Linked DNA regions of Lonchura striata. The protein of the gene in region 2 interacts with the protein of the main gene of each other region in a biochemical or structural test. Links are inferred from orthologs where the notes say so. Each region holds a gene or a part of one and is shown on either strand. Other genes may lie near its edges.

Region 1 (7,265 bases), on a different chromosome or scaffold from region 2:
CAAATCAGACCTGCAGAAGCCCTCAGCTGCCAGACCCCAGCCCTACACACAATTCTGCAGTTCCCAGCACAGCCAGAGTTCACCATGCTGGCAGGGAACCCTGGCTCTAAGGCCATGACAGGATTTGGGGAAGGGGTGGACACTTTTCAAGAATTACAAGGAAGAGGCTAAGTCAGAGTTGTCCCTGCATGGGTGGGGAACATGCACTAAAAATATCTCTGCTTTTCCTCTGCCCAGCCTGGAAAGTTGAAAGAACCATGACTAAAGCTTCCCCAACACAAGCACATGCCAGCAACTCACATGCAAGAGGGAGCTCCCAGCTCTCGGATGTACTTGCACTCGCCGTGAATACAGAAATCCTTGTACTTCCGCAGGCACGGGTCTCTCTTCTTCCCCAGGCCTTTGCCTTTTCTTCTTTTATTGCCGTTCCCTTTTTTCTTGGGAGTAACGAGGCCTTGAGGCTTTGACAGGAAGGCAACTGAAAAACAATTTGGGAAGGAGAGAACAGCAGTCAGATCAGCTCCACGTGCCAACAAAAGGGAAGGCAAAGGCACATCCCAGGGCTGCCACAACTGCTCAGCCATGGCTCCCACAGCCCTTTGTGCTGGGAGCTGCCCCCGAGCCCGGGGTTGGGGGGAGGGCATTTTTTTCAGCTCCTCACAAATATCATGGCCTTTCCAATTCATAAGAACAATTCTCAAGGAAAGAAGGGAGTTGGGCAGGGGGAACAGAGCTTTATACATCTCAAATGCTGCTATTATATGCACCAGTTTCCACTGAATACAGAACACTGCTAATTGCCCCTTTATCTGGCCTTTATTTCCCTGACAAGCACAGGCTTTTCTAAGACCCTATTCATGGCTCTGATGCACTCTCCTTCCCGTGGGCACAAGGATGCCTTACTCACCCCAGGGCAGGATTAAAAGAGCAAGCCTGCCTTAAGTTTTGGTTTTGCAGAGCCCAAGAGATGGTGAGGGCATCACTCCCATCAATTACAACGGTATATTTTAATTGTGGTCCAGTAACCAGCGGCTTTTGGTGCCAGATCAGCCCCCTGCTGGGTTGGTGGAACTAGAGCACCAAGCTCCTCACCCAAACGTAGCTCAACACTAGCAACGGTACTGGAATGATTATTAAAGCATGCAGATGCCAAAAAAAAAAAAAAAAAGAAAAAAGAAAAAAAAAAAAAAAAAAAAAAAAGAGAAAAAATAAAACCAACACCCCGCAGCTTGATCTCACGAGGTGCTGGAGAGCACTCACTGCTCCAAGGAGGATTTTTTAGGGCCCCCCGAGCTATGGTGCTCATTAACCCCGGTGAATTAAGCCTGGGGCTGCTCGAGGAGGAGAGTACAGCAGAGTCCAAGCTGGCAAGTTGTAACCTGCCCAGGTTACAACTCAATCACTGCTTGACGGAACCAGCGCCTCTCGTGCTGGCACACACCAGTTGCACACCTAGCAAAGCTATGTCGACATCCTCCACGCTGCGCCTGGAGAAAACCGATACTCCAGGAAACCTTGCGGCTTGGAGAAGCCCCGGATGAGGCTGACAGCAGAGGCTGCTCCGTTCCCTGCCTCTCCTGCCCTGAGGGTTATCTCCCAACCACAACCAGCCGACACACACTGCTGCGTTTTCCGAGGGCTAAGTCCCCCCGGCGCGAGTGGCTCAGCCCGGTTTTGCCGGCTTTTTGTTACAGTCTGCTGGCACAGCCAGAAAGCAAAGAAAAACACGGAAAAATGGGAGGGTGAGCTGTACGGAGCAGAGCACGCTCCTGGTGCCAGGTACTGCCCTCGGCACGCCGCGTCTGCGAGGCACAGGTACATGTCACCCCCTCAACCCCCCGTCCAACTCCCATGAGAGACCCCAGAACACTCTCTGGTGCCAGCCCGGGGCAAGGAGCCCGGCGTGGGTGCTCGGGAGCCCCAGAGAGCGGCGGTGCCCCCACCGCCCCCGTGGCGAGGCCGCCGGCTGACGAGCCCTGCCGCGGAATGAGGAGCAGCCGCGCGTGGGCGGCGGTGACTCACGACGGTCCCCGCGCCACCACCGGGAGGGCAGCGCGGGTCCCCGGACACGGCAACCCCGCCGCGAGGGGCTCCGTCTCCTCCTGGCCAAGCAGCTCAGACCCGGGGCCCCCTGGAACCCGCCCTGCAGGCGACTGCAAGGAACACGGATAGCCCCTGGCAGCAGCGGCACTGCTCCGTGCTGCTGCCCCACAGGCTACTCCCACTCGGGTCTGCTGCCGCCGGGGCTCGGTATCTGGGACCGCTCCCACCCACCACTGCAAGTCCCTCCGAAGCGGAGCCGGAGCTGCTGCCGGAACATCTGCGGGACTGAGCCGAGCTCAGCCCGGCACCTTCGCGACCTCTCCGGCTCCGACTGCCCCCAGCCCAGCCCGTCCCGCCCTGGGACCCCTTATCGCGTCCGTACCTCTCGGCAGCTCGCTGAAGTCGTCCCCCGAGGCCGCTCCGCCTCCGTCCTTCTCCGGGCTGCCGCCGAGCAGCGGCGCCGTGGCCGGGACCGGCACCCCGCCGCCGCCGCCGCCCTTGTGCAGCACCTCGTTGTGCAGCTCGTCCCGGCGCAGCCCGCCCGCCGCCGCCGAGCACACTGCGGAGAGAGCGGTCAGGAGTGGGGGCTGACACTGCCCTGCCCGGGACCCCCCACGCGGGACAGGGACCGATCTTCCCTTCTGCCCACACCCGGGACCAGGACGGCTTTGCCGGCGCCCAGGACCGGCCATGCCCGCCTTGCTCAAGACCATCCCCGCACATGTTCGGGACTCTCCAGTCGAGCACGGCGCTGGGATGCGCTGCCCGCACCCGGGACCGTCCCCACGCGAGCGCGTACCTGCCGCCAGCAGCGCTTGGATCAGCACCGCCCGCCCGTCCATGACCCGCGGGCACACGCGTCCAGCCAGTGCCGCGCTCCGCTCGGTCCCGCAGCGATGCCCGCTCTCCGGCACGGCGGCCCCGCGCCGTATAGAAAGCTGCGGAGGGGCGGAGGGGCGGGGCAGGGAGGGGCTGACCGACCGCCCCGCCCCCGGGAAGGGCTTCCCCACCGTCCCCGGGGGCGTCCCGCCGGCTGGGACCGGGACCTTGGCCCGGGCCCGGTGTGTTCTCCTCGCTCCGGAGGCGGGCCGGGTTGAGTGGAGAGAGCCCGGAGAGCAAAGGGTTTCTGCAGAGCACGGAGGGCAGGAGATGGCCAGGGGGAAGTGTGGCCCCAGCCAGGGGGAGAGGAGGGGGATCCCGGTGGTCCCCGTGGCCCCAGGCAGGTGGCCGAGGTGGCCCGAGGGTGCTGGGAGAGCGAGTGCACCTCACAAGACGAGCATCACGTGAGACAGGACCTCAGGAGTCAGGACTGCACCTCTTCCTGGCCCTGGGGATGGGATGACCCTCAGAAAGGGGAGAGACTGACACCCATGTGCCACTGCACCAGCGGCAGGTCTCACCAGGGAGGTGGTGGCAATATGAGATGGCAGCAGAGACCCTTTCTGTTCCCAAGACCCCATTTGTGCCCCTGTGCTGCCCAAGTGATTGAGTCACAGCCTTACCTCCCAGCGCCCCCCCAGCCAGGCACTGTCCTTGTCCCTGTCCCAGCCTGCTGTGTTTGGGCACTGCCAGAGCTTCCCCATGCTCTTCACCATGCTGGCAACCGTGTGCTGTGTTTGGCCGCATCCTCAGCACAGGTGACAATGTAGAAAATGTCACTGACATCAATGCCGGGTGAGTGCAGGGTCCAACAGAGGCCCCTGGTTGGTTCCTCGAGGTCCTGAGCCCATGGCTGGTTTGGGGTCAGCTAGGCATGAGCAAATATTCCTGCTATTGTTGTTGCTGTCTCCAAGGAATACCACCGGATCTGGCACCCCCCCGCTCACACCCTCCTTCTTGCTCAGACTTGACTTTTGCAATTGTTTGCTGGATGTTTTTCCTTCCGCCTCCTCGGGCCATCAGGAGCCCAAAGCCTTTGGTGGCACGGGTGAGGGGCTGTGTCCCTGGGCAGATCTGCACACTGGCTCCTGGGGAGGTCCCCCTGTTGGGATGGAATTTTTTTGCCCCTGCCAGTCCCCCACCATGTCCCCAAGGCTGGGCTGGGTATGTGCGGGCAGTGTAAGTGGGCAGCACTTGCCAGCTGCCCTGACACCTCTGGAGAGGGAGGTACCAGCTCACGTCAGCTGCCAGGGAGGCAGCTGGCACAGAGGACTGGCAGGGTGGGGGGGATGTGTGCAGGCTGCTGATCCTGCCTGCCTCTGCTTCCTGCCTCTGCCTCCTGCTGCCTCTTCCCCTCTGCCTCCCACAGCCTCCCATGACCCCTTTCCACTTCCTGCAGCCCCTCACAGCCTCCCTGCCCGTGTCTGCTGCCAGTCATGCCCCACCTCATGCTGCTGAGGCAGCCCCCACAGGTGGGGGAAATGAACCCCAGGAAGATTTGGGTGCCTCAGGGCATCCCTGATGCTCCCTATTGATGGGTCCTTCTGCCAAGGATCTCCCCACGGTAAGGGCACACGTCCACATACCATGGTACCTGCTGGTATCACAGAGCAAACAGCCTGGACACCCTGGGCCAGATCCTTGGCCTCAGTTCCTGCGAGGCAGGTACCAGAACCTCAGGAACCCACACTCCCAGCCGTCCTTCCCCAAAACGTGACTCTGCCGTGGTGGTGCCTGGCCCTGCTCCAGCTGCTCCTGGGGCTGGATCCTGTCGGGTCCAGCGGGCTCCAGCACAGCCGGCCCGTGCCGGAGCCGCGGGTGTTTGCGGTGTCCCCGCCGTGTTTGCAGTGCACACAGCCCCGCGGTTTGTCTGCGGGGAGCCGAGGGGCCAAGCGTGGTGGTGGTGGTGGTGGGCATGGCATGGGCACAGCGAGCACCGTGGCTGCTCTCTGCTGGCAGTGCTGTTCAAGCCCTGTCATGTCCCTGTCCCTGTCCCTGTCCCTGCAGAGTGCTGCTGTTGTGCCCACATCCTTCCCCCTCCATCCACTCACTGCCTGCAGAAGCCTTCTGAACACCATCACTGCCCCGGAGCCCTCCCAGTCCTTTCCGTCAGCCCTGCCACTGGCAGCCCCTTATTTCCCCACTGTGGATTTGCCCAGCAGTGCCACGTCCTTCCCCAGAGCATGTCCCCATATTCTCTTTTCCCAGAAGGAGCTGCCACGGGCTGTGTCACTCCTCCTGCCATGGGCACAGCATCCTTGCACAGGCACAGATACTGCCACCAGCTCTCCAGGGTTGGCCCTGCCACCCCCTCACCAGCACCTTGCAGGCTGCAGACAGGGCTGGGAACACACGAAGTTCCCTGTCCACCCAGGTCACTTGCAGGAGGCAGGTGGGTTCCCTGGTCCCTGGCCCAGGTGGGCAGCTGGACATGGCAGGACACAACCATACTGGGACCTGTGGGGCTGACCCTGCTGTTTTGGGATGCTTGTTTTGGGCTTGGCTCTGGTGTATTGGTTTGTGGCCAGTTTAAACCTGTTCACAGCTCTTATAAGGTGTGGGATGAGTGGGATCCTGTGAGTGCTGGAGGGGAGCCCACGCCTGTAGCTGCCGGTGCCGGTGGCCATGCGAGTCCACATGCCTGGGACAGGTGACACAGCTCTCCGGGCAGCAGACAGCTGCTCACAGCCCCGACTAGAGAGCAGCAATCCTGGAGCTCCCTCCCAAACTTTCGGCTGCAGCATCTTCCCCTCCAGCATGGCCACAGCGGCTCGGAGAGCTGGTGCCACCCTGCAGTGGGAGGAGAGGGGGGATGTCACCTGCCCGCTGCTCTTCATCCAGCTCAACCAGCTCCTCAGCACCCCGGCGGGGCTGGAGTGGAGGGAGATGGCCAGGTAGGGATACCTGCGAGAGCCAGGCTGGCTGGGCCACGCTTTGGGAAGCCAGGGCATTTCCCGAGGCTGGCTGTTCCCCAGCCTCAGCCCCAAGACAGGGCTCTGCCCCACCAGTGCCCAGCTGGGCTGACTTCATTTCATGGGAGAGGGCAAGATGTCAGGCAGGCACAGCGCCCTTCCTCCTGCTCCTCTCTGGTGCCTCTCCGAGGCTCCAGCGGCTGCGCTGGGGCTGGGTTATCCCCGAGCCCCCTGGCACCCATCCGGCAGGGGCAGGGGACGTGGGCCACAGCAGTCTGGGGACAGCAGTGGGTGTTCACCCGGGGTCGGAGTGTCTGTGGGATCCCTCCCCACCACCAGCCCCTTGTGCCCGCACGGCTGCCCCTCGCAGGAGCCCGCAGCGCCGGGCACGCTCTGCCCGTGCAGCACGACCAGCGCCCACCCACCGCGACAAAGGGAAGCTCTGTCTGTGCCCGGCATTAAAATATTTGGCATGGCCCGAGCGTGAAAACAGCTCAAGACACTTCTGTTCTGACTCCAAGCAAGCGTTGCTAATGGCAGGGCCACCCCCAGCCCCAGCGCAGCTGGGGAAATGGATGGGCTGGGAGCAGCCCTGCAGAAAATGACTGGGGGTGCTGCTGGGTGACAGAGGGGACATCAGCCAGCGCTGTGCTCTGGCAGACCAGAAAGGCGAGTGTGTCCTGGGCTGTATCACGGGCCACACGGTGAGGAGGGACTTCTCCCTCTGTTCTGCTTTGTGTGGGACTGCCCTGGGGCACCACATCCAGCTCCTGTTGAAGCACATCCAAAGGAAACCATGGAAATGATTCAAAGGCTGGAACAGCTCTGTTGGGACAGCTCTGCTATGGAGACAGGATGAGGGAGGTGGGGTGTTGTTTAGCCTGGAGAAGACAAGGCTCAGGGCCTAAGAGCCTCTTCCAGTGCCTAAAGGGGCTGCAAGAGAGCTGGAGAGGTACTTGAGACAAGGGACTGGAGTGACAGGACAAGCAGGAATGGCTTCCCACTGCCAGAGATCAGTGTCAGATGGGATATTGGGAAGAAATTCTTCCTTGTGAGGGTGGCAAGGCACAGATTGACCAGAGAAACTGTGGCTGCCCCATCCCTGTGAGTGTCCAAGGCCAGGCTGGAAGGGGCTTGAAGCAAACTGGGATAGTGGAAGGCACCCCACCCATGGTGGAAGGCTTGGAATAAGGTGAGTTTTAAGGTCCCTTCAAACCTGAACCATTCTTTCCCCTCATTTTGGTTGGAATTCCCCTGATCAGACCTTAGAGAGGTGTGGGTCTGCAGGAATGGGGACATGACCATTTTGTCTGCCCAGCTGCCCCTACACCATGAACCAAGTGCAGGCCCCTCTGAGCCACCCAAACCCCTCCCTGCCAGTGCCAGCCCCATGCTAAGCTCAAAGATGGACCCAGGCTCTAGCTCCCACTG
Region 2 (7,535 bases):
AAATGAACTTGAGCATCATGAGAGCACAGAAACTGGAAACTGGCTGCTTCCAGTGAGACTGAGAATGCTGCTTGTGATCCTGTGAACTTTTTGGTTCACAACTCTAAAGCCATTCAGGGGCACTTGGAAACCATCCTGTTAAAGGAAGGGAGTTTTAATTATTGCTCTTGTGCTCAGAAAAGCATGCAATGAGTATTTAACTCACCTGGAATTCTTATTGATGTCTAAACGTGGATGTGATCCTCCTGGAGAAGGAACAGCCCTGGGTGGAGGTACATCCCTGTACCCCACCCCTGAGGGGACTAACCAGCACAAATGGTGTCTGGACAGACAAAGAACATCTCCTTCCCCAGTGCTGTATCCTTCCTGAGGAGAGTCAAAACCAAAGTAAGACAGGAAAAGCAGGATGAAACTGGAACACAATCCCTCACTAGAGCATCCCCTGTTTTGGGAGGCAGAACAAGCCCCCAGAAGTGCTTTGCTGAGGTCCTGGTGTAGATTCTGCTCTATTTAAATGACTTTTTTTTGGGATGAACTTTACCGAACACACATGCAGCCTCCACAGCACCATGAATTTGGGGCTGACATTTAATGCCTCGGCACATTTCTTTCCTTGTCCCGTGCAAGGCAATCAAGTATGTCAGGTTAAGAGAAGAGAAAAAGAGGAAAAATAATTACACAGTAAATTAAACAAGGCTAACTCCCTCCCACTTATTATGGCTTCATAAGTTGCTACCTCTGGCTCAAGCTCTCTTGAATACGTACCAAGGGTAACACTAAAAATAGGTCCTGTACTGATGGTTGGGTCACAGCCTGCTAGAGGGAGACATTTTTATTTAATTACAAGCCCAGCAGCGTGTTGCTGGGGGGGAATACATAAACACGCCACTCGAAGCCCGGCTGTAAAGTTTGTGCTCCTTCGCTGAGTCACTGTGGCTAAATTCCCCTTTGTGTGGGGGATTTAGGGGAGGAATGCGGGAAGGCTGGCCCGGGCTGCCGCCCTCCTGAGTCACCGCTCAGCTCATCCTCCAGCCCCGGCAGGCTCAGGGCCCTAAGCCACTAATTAGCCTCATTGTCTTAGGGCTGCAGCATCCATAACCTAGCACAGGGAGGGGGGGGACGGAGGGACAAAGCTCCTGGAAACCCATGAGCTGTATCTCCTGGCAGTTGTGTTCTGTGCGTCACAGCCCACCTCTCAACACTCCCCGAGGGATCCTGATCCACTCCTTCCGTGGGATGGCATGGATTCCGTGATGCCTAAATGCGAGTGCAGCTGTAACCTGGAGCAGTTCTTCTGAGCAGGGAGGGTTCTGGGGCGCGGGGTGCAGCAGCCGGTGACACCATGGTCCTCGTCACTGCTGCCACGTGCTCGAGCGTGGCCGGGCAGCATCCCACATCCAGCAGGGCCGGGAGGCTGGCAGTGTTTCTGCAGTGTGACACGTGTCTGCTCAGCTCTGTCCGAACTACCAGGTTGTGCGGGTCTCCTTTCCCACAGCAGCAAGCAGCCCTGCGCAGCTCCCTCGGGCTGGCTACCGCCGAGCTCCAAAAATAACTTACCTTGGGACCAACTGCAAGGTGGATAACCCGTATCCCACCACCCCGATCAGTTGCGTCCTTGCGTGACTCTCAGGTTGCCCTTGTGCAGCACACATGGGCACAATGAGGGGTCTGTTCCCAGCCCCTCCGCTCCTGGGCTGCCACAACGCGCACGGCTCCGGTGTCTGCGCTCGGACAGAGCCTGGTGCTCATCACTGGGGTTCAGAGGAAGCTTAATGCACCATGGCTGCACGCTGAGCAGCTTTCCTGGGGCTTCCGCCCTCCCCCTTGCAAACAGCTTTGTGTGTTTAGGCTTTTTTTTAAATGAAGTCTAACACATTTAATCATCTTTTCATAAGCTGTCAGCTTGCCGCGCACCAAAGCAGAGCAGCGCGCTCTGTCCCGGCTCCCAGCAAAGCAAAAGTGCCTGGAGAATCCTGCTCCTGGGAGCGTGCACACACACAGCTCAGGAGCTGTGAACTTTTCTCAGGGTCTGGGGTGAGATCAAAAATCAGTTTTTGGAAGTTATTTTGAAACAGATCTTATTTTGTACAGCATCTTTACTCCAGTGTTTCATAATTCAGCTCTGCACCATCAGCGCTGGAAAACTCAGTATACTAGAAAACTCCAAATACATCAAAAGCAAAACACAACTAGTCCTAGGAAAACATGGGAATGTGCCTGTCCCCCACCCTGAAGGTTCTCGGCAGGAGCAGGGAGAACAGGGGGCAGCTCAGTCCAGGGGCAGAGCTGGGGTGGGCACAGCTGAAGTCAGGGCCTAGCAAGCTGGGGAAGTCAGAGCCGTGTCCTTGCGTGCCTGTCTGGGGTGGAATGGGAGATTATGTGTCTAACAGCACTGGAGGAGTGTGTGTGATGGGAAAGGGCGTTTGCACAGAGTGGGAGAAGCTGTTGTTTTGGGCATGATGGAGAGGAGCTGCTCCTCTTCCCTTTCCATTCATACAGGGTGGGTGATGCTGGGGCACCTTCTGGCTGAAGTTGTCTCCCAGAATGTTTTTTGTGGACTAAGCATCCTGAACAAGGAATTTCCTTTCTTACTGTAATTGTGGAGACTGCTCAGTTTTACTCTCCTCTCCACACACTAGCTGCCTCTTGGAGAAGCATCCCAAGGCTGCCCTTGCCACTATCCCTCAAAATACGGGCTGCACATTGCCCAGTCCTTGTCTCCCCACAGACCTGGTGCTGCTGGCCAGGGTATTTCCCCGGGAGAAGCAAACATTCGTGTCTCCCTGTCCAAGTAACTGATAGGTCTGAGGGATCTGAATAGATCCCAGATTTTCCTGGGAAGGATGTCCATGCTTCACCTGGTTCTCACACAGAAGGCCCTTCCTGAGGAACCACCGACTCAGGTTTAATGCTGGAGGTTAATAATAATCACACCAGGCAGCACATCATTGCACCGTATCTGGTTGAGAGATTTACAAGTGAAACTCGTGGCGGAGGAAGAAATTGCCTCAATCACTCGGAGTAATGGCACATGGAGAGGCACTTGGGCGTGACTGCTACTTAACACGGAGCCCAGCTTGGCTTCATTTAGCTGCTGGTGCCTTTCTAATAAACACGTTACACTACAAGGTGGGGATTAAGATCAGAAAAGTAAATAAATTGGAAACTGATGGGGAGAGATGGGAGGGAAATGGAAGGTACTGAGGAGGAGTGACGAGGGATTGACTCCCATGCCAGCACATGGGGAAATGACCCTGAAGGCCATGGCTGTAGCTTTCCAAGCATCTCTGTGGGCCTCACCTGTGGCCTGCAGGTGCTGGGCAGCCCCAGTGCCAGGGCATGTTGGGTGTCCCTGCTCAGGGTCACCAAGCTGGTCTTCAGCAAACAGCAGCTGTGGCAAGTTGGTGTCTTAAACAATTCAGTAGCTTTTACTATATGTATTAGAGAAGCAAGAAAAAGTGCAATGCACCAGTTGACAGGAAGGACTGGGGGTTAATTTTCAGGATGCTGCCTGGGAATTTAGCCGTGGGATTTCCATTATTGCTAATGGGACTCATGCAGCTTAATTTCATGTGAGCTATACTAAAAACATACCCGTAACTGCCTGCAAAATTTCAGTCCTGAAATCAAGCCTTTTAAAAGTTAGAGAAGGGTAAACAAACACCTGAAACCACAGTGTCTCACCATTTCCTCCTCTCAGCTGTTTGGATTTTAAAGTCTGGAAGAGGGAGGAACTCAAGCAGTTTGAGACAATTAAAAACCCCCATCCAGCAGGCACGCTGGCTGCCTGTGCGGCACATCCCTGCTCTCTGCCAATTACAGCAGCAGAGTTATAACCCCCGAAAAAATAGGAGTAAGCTGATGCCTTACCCTTAACTATAGTACGGCGAGCACGGCGTTATCACACGCGTCTAATAACCCGCGCAGCGCCGCCGTGCATCGTGAGGCCTCCGTTATTAGGCTGTTCTCGTTAAATGACTGCTATCATCTGGTCCCAAAGTACATTAAATCCCATTATAATTATAAACACACTTCCCCATAACGTTCTCCTTAGATTACATTTGCGCTGCTTTACCCCAAGGGTATCTTTGTACTAATGCCGTCCGTGTTTGTTGTTTTAGCTGAAGACACCGGCCCTGCGCTGGCTGTGTCGGTCCACGGGCGCAGCAGAGAGGGAGGGAAGAAGGCAGAGCCGTGCGGCTGCCACCCTGCCCCTCCCGAGGATTGCACAGGGTGCGCCGGGCGCGGGCACGCCAAGGAGCTGAGGCACTCCTCGGATGCTCGGGGCACGCAGTGCTCCCTCCGCGCGTGGCCCGCTGCTCCTGCCGCCGCCTGGTGCTGCTGTCGGTGTCACGGTGTGGCTGGCGTCTCACCGCGCGTTTCGCTCCCTTCCCGAAGGGGACAGAGCCCCACGGCCCGTCCTGGGGTGCGGGCACCCGCCACATCCCTACACACAAGTGGCGCCGTCACGGCGTCAGTATTTTACCGGGGGGGCAGGGGGGAAAGGAGGACAAACCGGCTTCGTCGAGGCGACAACGTGCTCGGTGTCACATCATGTCACGAGCACCGCAGCTCCCGGTCGGAATCCGGACCCCAAACCGGGCTCCGAGGTTGGTTTTCACCGTCTCCAGCCCGGGGCCGGGTCCGCCCGGCGCGGGGGCGGCTTTGTCTGGCGGGGGCGCCGCCCGTCGGGGCGCGCAGCCCCGCTCGCGGCGGGCCCGGGGCAGCCGCGCCGCGGCCCGGGGCCGCTCCGCGGGGCCGCTCCCGGTGCCGCCGGGCTTCCGGGTGCCGGGCTCGCCGCCGCCTCCGGCTCCTCCATGTTTGTTGTCGGCAGCGCTGTCCAGCCGCCGCCGCCGCCCGCAAGGTGCGGGGCGCGCGGGGCGGGCCCGGGCGGGGGCGCCCGCACTCAGCGCGGCGGGCGGGGGCGGCCGCCGGTCGGTGGGTGGGTGGGGGCGGCCTGACGCGGGCGCGGGGCGGCCCGGGGGCCGGCGCCGCCGTGATTTGCTGCGCGGCGCGGCGAGCGGCGGCGGCGGCGATGAGAGCGGGCAGTGCGAACTGCCGGAGCAGCCGCCGGCCGCCGTGAGTGCGGGCGGGGGGCGGCACCGGGGCCCCCCGCGTCCCCCGCCCCGGGACCGCCGTGTGCCCGCGGCTCCGCCGCTTCGCCGCGCACCTGATGGGGCCGCGCTGCCGGCGGGACGGGGCGGCCGGAGCTGGAGCCGGGCGGCGGCGGGGGATGCGCACCTTCCTCTCCCTTCCTTCCCTCGCCTTCCCCGGCCGGCGGTAGCGGGAACGCGGCTCCGGCAGCTGCGGATCCGCCGAGCAGCGCGGAAACTTTTGGGCGAGTCGCTGCTAGGCTGCGGGCTAACTTCCCTCTTCTCCCCGCTCCCTTCTCCCCGCTCCCTTCTACTCCCTGCTCCCTTCTCCTCTCCTTTCTCTCCCCGGCTTTCCTCTCTCCCCCATCTTTTTTCTCTTTCTTCCCCTTTTCTCTCTCCTTCGTCTCTTCCCTCCCCGCTCCCCCTTTCCCGCTCCCCTCTGCTCCTCTCCCCCTCCGCCTTTTGTTTTCTGCAGATAGTCGGCACACAAAGCTGGTCCCAGATTTGAGCGACGGCGAGACACCCTGATGTGTGAGCCTGGGGCGCGCCATGGATCTGACTAAGATGGGGCTGATACAGCTGCAGAACCCCTGCCACCCCACCGGGCTGCTGCACAAAGCCAACCAGATGCGCCTGGCGGGGACGCTGTGCGACGTGGTCATCATGGTGGACAGCCAGGAGTTCCACGCGCACCGGACCGTGCTGGCCTGCACCAGCAAGATGTTCGAGATCCTCTTCCACCGCAACAGCCAGCACTACACCCTGGACTTCCTCTCGCCAAAGACGTTCCAGCAGATCCTGGAGTACGCGTACACTGCCACCCTACAAGCCAAGGTTGAGGACCTGGATGACCTGCTCTATGCTGCCGAGATCCTGGAAATTGAGTACCTGGAGGAGCAGTGCCTGAAGATCCTGGAGACTATACAGGCCTCCGAGGACAATGACACCGAGGTCGCTATGGCTGATGGAGGTGCCACCGCCACCACTGAGGAGGAGGAGGAGAAGAAGTCAAGGTACATCAAGGGCCTCTTCATCTCCAAGCCCACTGGTGAGGAGGGTGGCTATGCTGGCATGGCCAGCCAGAATCTGCTGGCAGCCACAGTGGAGCAGAGCCCCTCTGCCTCCGCATCCTACTGCTCCCTCTCTTCCATGAGCCCCACCAAGGCGGCGGTGGACAGCTTGATGACCATCGGGCAGTCACTGCTGCAGGGAGCCCTGCCACCCAATGCCCCCGAGGACTCACGCTCTGCCACCACCCGCCGTCCCTCTGGCCTCGCCGAAGTCAAAACTGAAGCAATGCAGGTGGATGAGGCCTCCAGCCATGACAGCCCCCGGACAGCCGAGCCCGGTGCCTCCAGTGGGGAAAAGGCTGACGAGAAGGGCAAGGAAGGACCTGGCACCCCGACCCGCAGCAGTGTCATCACCAGTGCCCGTGAACTGCACTACACCCGTGAGGAGGGTGCCGAGCCACCCCCTGAGCCTGGCCAGGGGCTGCCACTGGGGCCGGAGCCGTCTGCCGCTGCCCCGGGAGAGAAGCCCTTGGGCATCTACTCCCTTCTGCCGAACCACAAGACTGAGCCGGTGCTCGGCGTGCCGCCCACTGCGGCGTCCGCCCTGCATGTGCAGCCGGCCCTGGCTGTCTCCATGGACTTCAGCGCCTATGGCGGGCTGCTGCCCCAGGGCTTCATCCAGCGGGAGCTGTTCAGCAAGCTGGGGGAGCTGGCAGCCGGCATGAAGACGGAGAGCAGAGCCCTGGGTGAGCAGTGCAGCGTGTGTGGGGCAGAGCTGCCGGACAACGAGACCCTCGAGCAGCACAGGTGAGTGCCGAGGCCGTGCTGTGGCATGCTGCACCGGGCAGCCAGGATCTCGCCAAAGGGTTTCGGTTTCTGGCTGAGTGTCACATGCGTTGGTGCAAAGTTTCCATCAGGTACCCCAAAACCAGCTTGTGGAGTAGCATTCTAAGAGGGATAGCTGTTGGCAGCTTCCCCGAATCTGGTTACCGTGCCAGAAGGTTCCTTCCAGTGAGTGCTGGCTGGGAACAGCCCGGATGAGCTGGGGCCGTCGGTGTTTCCTGCGAGCATAAACACCACCAGTTTCCCTGGCTGGCATCAACCAAGTAGCTCACAGTTGCTACCCTTTGAGTTGGGGGATCTGCGTGTAGAGAGAAGCAGTGGGGACAGGCAGCGCTCGCCCGCTCTGCTGAGATCTGGTCCCCCCTGTGCCAGTGCCGGGGCACGCCAGCGCGGGCAGTGGTGTCAACATGTGTTGACTTGCCAGCCTGGGGGGTTTTGTGCCGCTCAGCTTCCCGGTTTATGAAACATTTACACTTCGCAGAAAGTGGCGCGGGGGTCAGGCTGGGTAACGCCGGGGCGAGCGCAGAGGGCTCGGGCTGCCGCAGAGCCGCGGGTCTGTCCCTGCGGGAAAGGTGAAGGGCTGAACCTC

The links. The genes of interacting proteins can lie anywhere in the genome.
Region 1: the proteins of ZBTB16 (region 2) and HBEGF form a complex in vitro, tested with the Homo sapiens proteins (2 studies listed by BioGRID). The link is inferred for Lonchura striata from reciprocal best matches to the Homo sapiens genes ZBTB16 and HBEGF.

The regions. Positions count from the first base shown.
Region 1 is NC_134617.1:15,518,894-15,526,158, forward strand, and holds the start of HBEGF (proheparin-binding EGF-like growth factor), read right to left. Parts: upstream 3,001-7,265; 5' UTR 2,886-3,000; coding exon 2,843-2,885; intron 2,603-2,842; coding exon 2,426-2,602; intron 479-2,425; coding exon 301-478; intron 1-300. Other genes in the region: SLC4A9 (anion exchange protein 4), read left to right, coding at 5,548-5,816. UniProt on the Homo sapiens protein: Growth factor that mediates its effects via EGFR, ERBB2 and ERBB4. Required for normal cardiac valve formation and normal heart function. Promotes smooth muscle cell proliferation. May be involved in macrophage-mediated cellular proliferation.
Region 2 is NC_134625.1:10,775,476-10,783,010, forward strand, and holds the start of ZBTB16 (zinc finger and BTB domain-containing protein 16), read left to right. Parts: upstream 1-4,530; 5' UTR 4,531-4,610; intron 4,611-4,966; exon of another isoform or gene 4,967-5,079; intron 5,080-5,568; exon of another isoform or gene 5,569-5,572; 5' UTR 5,573-5,642; coding exon 5,643-6,910; intron 6,911-7,535. UniProt on the Homo sapiens protein: Acts as a transcriptional repressor. Transcriptional repression may be mediated through recruitment of histone deacetylases to target promoters. May play a role in myeloid maturation and in the development and/or maintenance of other differentiated tissues.